Macaca fascicularis: one gene and its partner. The protein of the gene in region 1 binds, or shares a complex with, the protein of each later gene. Links are inferred from orthologs where the notes say so. Each region holds a gene or a part of one and is shown in the gene's direction. Other genes may lie near its edges.

Evidence for each region.
Region 2: the proteins of KDM4A (region 1) and H1-4 are in contact, whole or in part, in a crystal structure (PDB 6H8P), measured with the Homo sapiens proteins. The link is inferred for Macaca fascicularis from reciprocal best matches to the Homo sapiens genes KDM4A and H1-4. Residues at the interface, in NP_055478.2 of Homo sapiens: Ile71, Asn86, Ala134, Asp135, Asn137, Thr167, Ile168, Glu169, Gly170, Val171, Tyr175, Tyr177, Glu190, Asp191, Ser196, His240, Lys241, Ser288, Thr289, Asn290, Asp311, Met312, Val313; in NP_005312.1 of Homo sapiens: Ala24, Arg25, Lys26, Ser27, Ala28, Gly29.

The regions. Positions count from the first base shown.
Region 1 is NC_088375.1:191,079,290-191,083,097, reverse strand, and holds part of KDM4A (lysine-specific demethylase 4A), read left to right. Parts: intron 1-1,389; coding exon 1,390-1,594; intron 1,595-2,042; coding exon 2,043-2,119; intron 2,120-2,804; coding exon 2,805-2,860; intron 2,861-3,808. UniProt on the Homo sapiens protein: Histone demethylase that specifically demethylates 'Lys-9' and 'Lys-36' residues of histone H3, thereby playing a central role in histone code. Does not demethylate histone H3 'Lys-4', H3 'Lys-27' nor H4 'Lys-20'.
Region 2 is NC_088378.1:146,774,675-146,778,875, reverse strand, and holds the start of H1-4 (histone H1.4), read left to right. Parts: upstream 1-1,287; 5' UTR 1,288-1,350; coding exon 1,351-2,010; 3' UTR 2,011-3,045; coding exon of another isoform or gene 3,046-3,426; 3' UTR 3,427-3,435; intron 3,436-3,732; exon of another isoform or gene 3,733-4,201. Other genes in the region: histone H2B type 1-M, read left to right, coding at 3,046-3,426. UniProt on the Homo sapiens protein: Histone H1 protein binds to linker DNA between nucleosomes forming the macromolecular structure known as the chromatin fiber. Histones H1 are necessary for the condensation of nucleosome chains into higher-order structured fibers.

The DNA.
Region 1 (3,808 bases):
GAGGGGTAGAAGCAAGGGCCCGATATGTGAGGAGGGACTGGGAGGCAAGACTGCTGAGCTCAGCTGTGTGCTTCATACTCTGGGGCATCTATGGATTCACTGATAGATCTCTTTGGGTCCAGCTCTAGGATGCCAGGAAGGCATTCACAGCAGCAGGTGCCAGGGGACAAGCTCAGTCTCAGCTGGGACCTGCACAGCATGGCAGGTAGATAAGTGGTCCTTAACTTGATCTGGTGGTTAAAGTAGCATGGCTACTGCTGAGGCTGGCAGGGCCCCCGATTCATGCTTGCTGAAAATAGAACCTCAGACCAACACACTTTGGATTAGGAACTCGCTAAATCTTTCCATTGACAAAAAGCAAAACCAAAGCCTTTGCCTATGAGGGGAGTGAATGGCTGGGTTCTTACTATAAGCAGATCTACTAAGTAGGAGTTTCACAAATGGCATAGGCTCTGGGGTTGACATCTTTCTGGGCCTCATCCTTGGAATGGGGATGCAAGTGCCATCCAGCAGATATTTGCAATCAGTATAGTTTGCCAAGGGAAGTATGTGGATATAAGTTCTTCCTGGAGGGACCCTGAGCCAGGAATCACACAGGTGGGGCTCCAGCCATGTAACAGTGCTGTAGTTCAGGTGACCTGCTAACAGGTACCACAAGAGGCAATTAGTGCTGGCCTATTAGGAGCATCTGCTCTGGGTACACTCCCCGGGTGGGGTCACTGCACGGTGTAGCACATAAGGGAGCCCACAGTAGCAGCCTAGCTGCTAACATTTCAGTGCTTTTTTTTTTTTTTTTTTTTTTTTTTTTAAAAAAAGATGGAGTCTCAGTCTGTTACCCAGGCTGGAGTGCAGTGGTGTGATCTCGGCTCACCGCAACCTCTGCCTCCCCAGTTCAAGCGATTCTCCTGCCTCAGCCTCCCAAATAGCTGGGACTACAGGCATGTGCCACCACGCCCAGCTAATTTTTGTATTTTTAGTAGAGATGGGGTTTCACCATGTTGGCCAGGCTGGTCTCAAACTCCTGACCTCTGGTGATCCACCTGCCTTGGCCTCCCGAAGTGCTGGGATTACAGGCGTGAGCCACCTCGCCTGGCCTCTCTGCATTTTATTACCACTTGCTTTGGGAAGATTGAAATCCCAGTTGCCTCTTACCTTGCTCCCTTTTCTCAGCTGTCCCCTAGGGGTCTTTGTATGATGCTGCTGTGAGAAATTGAATTTGAGTCATTAGAGGTAACTTCAATTAGCAGCTCCGGGATAATGGCTGTGCACCCGGGAGCTGTAGCCATAGTCAGATCGGTAAGAGAGCCAGCTTTCTGCTGATAGAGCAGGTGGAAGGCTAAGAGCACAGGCATGTGCTCACTGAGGTGTACACTTGTTCTTTCCCCTTAGGTTGAGTTTGGAGGCTTTACTCAGAATTGTGGAAATGCTTCAGATTTAGCCCCCCAGAAGCAGAGGACCAAGCCATTGATTCCGGAAATGTGTTTCACTTCGACTGGCTGCAGCACGGACATCAACCTTTCTACTCCCTACCTTGAGGAGGATGGCACCAGCATACTGGTTTCCTGCAAGAAGTGCAGCGTCCGGGTCCATGCCAGTGAGTGCTGCTCACCTTTCTGTGTGTCCTGTCCCAAGAGTATGGGCCTGCCCGCTGGACGTTCTTGCTACCTCCTGGCCTCCCGGCCCCTAAAAGATTGTTGATGTTTTATTGGGAGAGTCTGTTGCTAGTGGATTTTTTCTGTGTCTCCAGGGGTCCATACTGGCACTAGGCATCTCTGTGCCATCCTCTTGGTTGCAGATAGCAGAAAGGGATTAGTCCCTGCCACTTACTAGGTGTTTGTACCAGTGAATCTACAGTTTCTGACTTTTTGAGACTTTGAGCCATACTATATGCCTGAGCCCTGGGGACTCAGACTAAAGAAAACTAAGGGGTTTCTGTGAGATTTGGTTGTAGCTTTGGGAGGTGGTATATGGAAAGGAATTGCAAATCTCCCTTTTGACTCTGACCATTGGGTTTAATTTGCTCATCTTGGTGTCCCTGTTAGGTTGCTATGGGGTCCCCCCTGCAAAGGCTTCTGAAGACTGGATGTGTTCTCGCTGTTCAGCCAATGCCCTAGAGGAGGTGAGTGATCCCACATGGTTACTGTCTTCACCGTAAGTCTTGGTGCATATTCAGGGCTGTACGATTTCATGTCAGACTCAGTATTCCCAGCAGTCTGCATAGGGTCTGGTACGCGGCGATGTCAGAGAGCAAGTATTGTGAGAGTAAATCCTATGACAGTGAGAGCGGTTGCTGCCCACTTAACGGAGTCTGGACGCTGTGTTAGCTCCATTATGTGAAGACCAACTAGTGGTCTTCCTGTAGGAAGAACAATAACTCCCTTAAAAGAATTTAGCCATTTTGAGTTGGAGCCTCAGAAAGGGGCTCAGATGATTCATTGTGCAGTTTTCTCTTCACTGTACCCCTGGAACCTGGCTGTACCTAGCCCACAAAAGAAGCAGTCAGATCCCTGTCGTGCCTCTAGTTTGAGCAAAGTATCTTTCATGACTTTGCTAAGAGTTGTTATTAGCAGTAAACAGTGAGGAGGATTATATGAAGTCATGCGAATACTTGGCACACTTTAGCCCTGAGTGGCCTCTCCTTCCGACAGGGCGTCCTGGTGCAGGGGCTGCCTGGGTGAAGCCCCACATGCTATTATGCTGCTTTCTTATGTGGAGGAGTTGCCCAAAGCAGGTCCAGGGGAGAGCAGATTGAATGTTAATGACTTGGTGTTAACCACTTTTTCCTCCCTCTCCTTTCTTGGCAGGACTGCTGTTTATGCTCATTACGAGGAGGGGCCCTGCAGAGAGCAAATGATGACAGGTAAGTTTCCTGAGCAGTGCCTTGGAATGCACAGGCTCAAGTTCTGAAGCACACAGTGTCTTTGTGAGGGCACTAGCTGTTCTTCTGAATGACTGATGAGGATTTGGGAAGCACATCGTGTGGAGCTGGAATAGCATCTCCAAGACTCATTTTAAAAATGGAATGCTAAGGGAGCCAAGCAGTCTCAGACTTTCCAACTCTAGCTGCTCCTCTGCAGCAGAGATGTCAGTGACATCCTCCTTTGGAGGCGCTAAGAATGGACTCATGAGAATATGAAGGCTGTGAAGGTGATGCGCAGGGACTGTGTGGGCTGGAGTGAGGACATTCACCTTGTCACAGCTGGCGCTGGTGCGCAGAGGCGGCCACAGGCTAGCAAGCACTTCTCCACGTGGCAAACTCCCTGGCTCAGACCTGGTATTTGGAATGAGGCGAGTGTGCTCAAGGGCGACACTGAGGAGAGCTCAGACAGGCCCACCCACTATGGAACCAAATCTACTGAAGTTTCTGGGCTTCTCAGCTGTTGGACAGCTCATTTTTATGGAGTGAATCTTTGTGCTTAGACATGTGCTTGGTTGCTCTGAGGTGGAAATGTAAGATGAATGAGGTTTCTGACCTGGAAGAGCTGGCTGTTTAGGGCATGGTGCATGCAGGTCAGTGCTGAGTATCCTGCTTTTAAGTAGAATCCCGTGGCAACTTGCAGCACATGTTCAGTCCAGCCGCCTGCCCTCAAGAGTCCCTGTCATGCTGTCCCTGAGAGATGGCTACTCTGCTTGCTGCTTCTGCTCCTTCAGAGGCACTTGCTGCCATTATTTGAGGTCATTGTGTTCCTCACAATCACAGGATAGTGCTGGGAACATTCTTACTTGGAGTGGAAATGGCTCTGCTTGAACCTCTCACCTTTCCTCTGAATGCCTGTTCTTCCCTCCAGGGCCACCCAGAACAAATCCG
Region 2 (4,201 bases), on another chromosome or scaffold:
TGGGCAACTACCTAAAGAGATTTACTCAGACATTGTTCAAAGGATGTTTTCAGAGGGCAATGATTTATAATAGCTTAGATAGACTCTCAAAGCTCTGCTTCTGAGATCGAAATTTGAACTTGTCATTTAATCACTACATGTCACTTATTTTTCTTTCTATTGCGCTCTGCGAAGCGTTGGGATACAGTCTTCAGGGGGATTGAAACCATACATGGTGAGTGGACTAGTCATTCCTCAACTATTCAGTAATAATAGCGGCTGGGCTTCTCTAATAATGGGAGTACATATGTTTCAATATACAGTTCTTATTTATTTTCCCTTATTATCAATGTTTGAATTCCAGCTCTAAGCTACTTTATTGCAATTTGGTTCTGAAGCATATGCCAAAAGCACTCAGCAAGGCTGCAGACAAATGCTTTAAAGAAAAGTGCACCTCCACTTCCAGTGACTTTATGAACATCACATTCGAAAATTAATCTTTTTTCAACTCTGTACCCTGAGTATATTTTGGACTTCCCTTCGTTCCCAAATACCCTGAATTCAAGGTATCTCAATCCATGGAGCAGTTGTCCAGAGAAGAGAGAAGCAACAGCCCCGCCCCCAACCCTTGGGAGCAGAAAGGGAAAGAATTATCCAAAGGAATTGTTTTAAAACTCAGATATAGCGGACAGATGTAAAACCACGGCTGCATAGATTGATGTCCCAGGGGTCCAAAACTTAATGTCAAATGAGGAATAATTTGTTTAGCATTAAACTAAACCAGTTTGATGAACTCAAATGCCCTCGGCTCAATAGGCAGGACTCTCCGAGGAGCCTGTGTTACTTCCCTCACTTAAGTGCAGATTTGTAATAAAAATCTTAATGCCAGTGGCATGCTTTTTGGATATATCAGAAGCTAACCACTTGGAGAATCATATTTGAGAGGTCAGAAAACTCCACAGTTAAAGATCGGTTTATAATTTACGAAGAAAATAGAAAGTTTTGTTTCTCTGAGTTGAAATTTGCCAAGCACGGCGGGAAATATTGCAAGTTTTTGGCACAAGGCTTTGTGCTTTCCTCATAATTTGAGATCTGCGTGAAGCCTGAGGGTTCGGGGATCATTATCTGAGAAAAACCGGGTAGTTCGGTGCAGACAATTTTTATATTTTTGGCTTTTTTTGAGGTGTAACAAACACAACTCGGGATCCGAGAGGACACTCTGCGGCTGCCAGCGAGGCGGGCTGGACAGCGCACCAATCACGGCGCAGCTCCGCCCTATATAAACGGGCGGGCGCAGCGCCGCGGCCCGAGTCCCGGCCAGTGCCTCTGCTTCCGGCTCGAATTGCTCTCTCTCTCACGCCTGCCTTCAACATGTCCGAGACTGCGCCTGCCGCGCCCGCTGCTCCGGCCCCTGCCGAGAAAACACCCGTGAAGAAGAAGGCTCGCAAGTCCGCAGGTGCGGCTAAGCGCAAAGCGTCTGGGCCCCCCGTGTCCGAGCTCATTACTAAGGCTGTTGCCGCCTCCAAGGAGCGCAGCGGTGTATCTTTGGCCGCTCTCAAGAAAGCGCTGGCAGCCGCTGGCTATGACGTGGAGAAGAACAACAGCCGCATCAAGCTGGGTCTCAAGAGCCTGGTGAGCAAGGGCACTCTGGTGCAGACCAAGGGCACCGGCGCATCGGGTTCTTTCAAACTCAACAAGAAGGCGGCCTCCGGGGAAGCCAAGCCTAAAGCTAAAAAGGCAGGCGCGGCCAAAGCCAAGAAGCCTACAGGAGCGGCGAAGAAGCCCAAGAAGGCGACGGGGGCAGCCACCCCTAAGAAGAGCGCCAAGAAGACCCCAAAGAAGGCGAAGAAGCCGGCTGCGGCTGCTGGAGCCAAAAAAGCGAAAAGCCCGAAAAAGGCTAAAGCAGCCAAGCCAAAAAAAGCGCCCAAGAGCCCAGCGAAGGCCAAAGCAGTGAAACCCAAGGCGGCTAAACCAAAGACCGCCAAGCCCAAGGCAGCCAAGCCAAAGAAGGCGGCAGCCAAGAAAAAGTAGGAAGTTCCTTTGGCCAACTGCTTAGAAGCTCAACACAACCCAAAGGCTCTTTTCAGAGCCACCCACCGCTTTCAGTAAAAGAGCTGTTACACTATCAGGGGGTGTGGCCGGGAAAACGCCGCTATTGAGGGGCGGGTCTCCCGGGAACAAAGTCGGGAGAGAGGAGCCGTTTTTGGCCAGGGGGTCATTTCTCGTTCCGTCGGCCAAGCAGGAGTGCAGCCGCGTCATTGAGCTTTTATTGCGTTTTCGAATACTGGAGTTAAAACCCATTTCGACCTCCGTAGTACTTAACACTTAGCGAGATCTGGCCTGCAAATAGCATGGGAAAAAAAGTCGGGATTTTCCCGGGCTTCTAGGCTGGGACGTATGAGTTCCGAATAGAGAACACTCAATTTCCGTGCTGGCTCCCTACAGACTATGGCAAGCAATGGAGTGCAGAGGAGTACGTCTCGACACAGGTGGCATAGTACACTATTTCAACCACTGCCACAACTAAAAATTAGAAATTGACACTGCAGAAAATACGTGGTCCTTAAATGTAGCATTTGCATAGATGAAGGACTTCCCAAACGCAAAACTGCCAGACTTCCAGGGATATCCCAATTACCATGACTTCTGTATGCAACGAGTCCTATAATTTGTTAGAGGAAGAAAAGAGAACGTGAGCTCTCCTAAAGTATCTTTCAGTATACGTTCTGACACCACAACGCTAATAAAAAGTGTGATCTCAAAAACAACTGCTCCAAGAGAAGTGCACAGCTGACTTGTCTAAAGACGACTATTTATAGTAGCCTCGGGTAGTCTGGTCTGGGCTTTCTGATTGGGTAAAAGTAAAGTAATGAAATAGCCAATGAAAAGGTAGACTTTTAAGTGTCGTTTACATTGGCATTTGTGACGACACACAAAAATTAATCCAATCATAAACGAAATCTGATTAACCTCATTTGAATACCGCATCTATAAATGAACGGGGCATCGGTGGGAGTGATTATTTTCTCAGGTGTTTGCGACAGTGTTGTAATTATTAACGTTGCTATGCCTGAGCCTACCAAGTCTGCTCCTGCCCCAAAGAAGGGCTCCAAGAAGGCGGTGACTAAGGCGCAGAAGAAGGACGGGAAGAAGCGCAAGCGCAGCCGCAAAGAGAGCTATTCCGTGTATGTGTACAAGGTGCTGAAGCAGGTCCACCCCGACACCGGCATCTCTTCCAAGGCTATGGGGATCATGAATTCCTTCGTCAACGACATCTTCGAGCGCATCGCCGGCGAGGCTTCCCGCCTGGCGCACTACAACAAGCGCTCGACCATCACTTCCAGGGAGATCCAGACGGCCGTGCGCCTGCTGCTTCCGGGGGAGCTGGCCAAGCACGCCGTGTCGGAGGGCACCAAGGCCGTCACCAAGTACACCAGTTCCAAGTAACTTTGCCAAGTAAGCATCTTTACACCTAATCCCAAAGGCTCTTTTAAGAGCCACGCATGTTTTCAGTAAATGAGTTGTAATTTCATTCAAAAGGGGGATTATTGGATTTCTCAGCACCATACTACCAATCTTTAATGTTATGTTAGTACTGCAGAGGAAATACTTGGAAATTATAGGTAGTAACAATAGGTACCAGAAGTTGAGTGCTATGGGCACATACTAGATCATTAGCTCATTTAGTGTCAGATAACACTAACATAAACTGAAAGTACTGTAAGTGTACAGCTCTTTCGTTTCCGTGTGCAGATTTCCAAGTTGATCGTGATGTTGATCTGGGACTTCGTGTGGTGACGGCCCACCCTGAGCACAAAAGAGCACCCTTTTGCAACTTCCTTCTGTTTGGAGCTTTCTCCACCATCACCCCCGCCCCCCGTTTTCTTGTAAAATTTTTACCATGCAGATACGTGATAACTGCAAGTAAAGGCTGAAGACAATGTGAGCTGAACACGGAAGTATTACAAAGGTTTCTGGTTTGCTTTGTAATTGGGCCAGTTTCTCTCTGAAGCTCTTAGGCGAGTAGGGGAGGAAAAGGCGGATCCTAGGCGCTGAGGTGCAGGAAAAAAGAAGCAACTTCTGAGACACCTTAAAATTATTTTGCTAAACCGTCTTTTTCAGAAAGCTATTTAATTTATAGTTTTCTTTTGGCAGCTTTCAGGTTAAAAGTTCACTAGGTAATGGCAGAAACCCAAATAGTCATTAAGGTGTCTGACTGCAG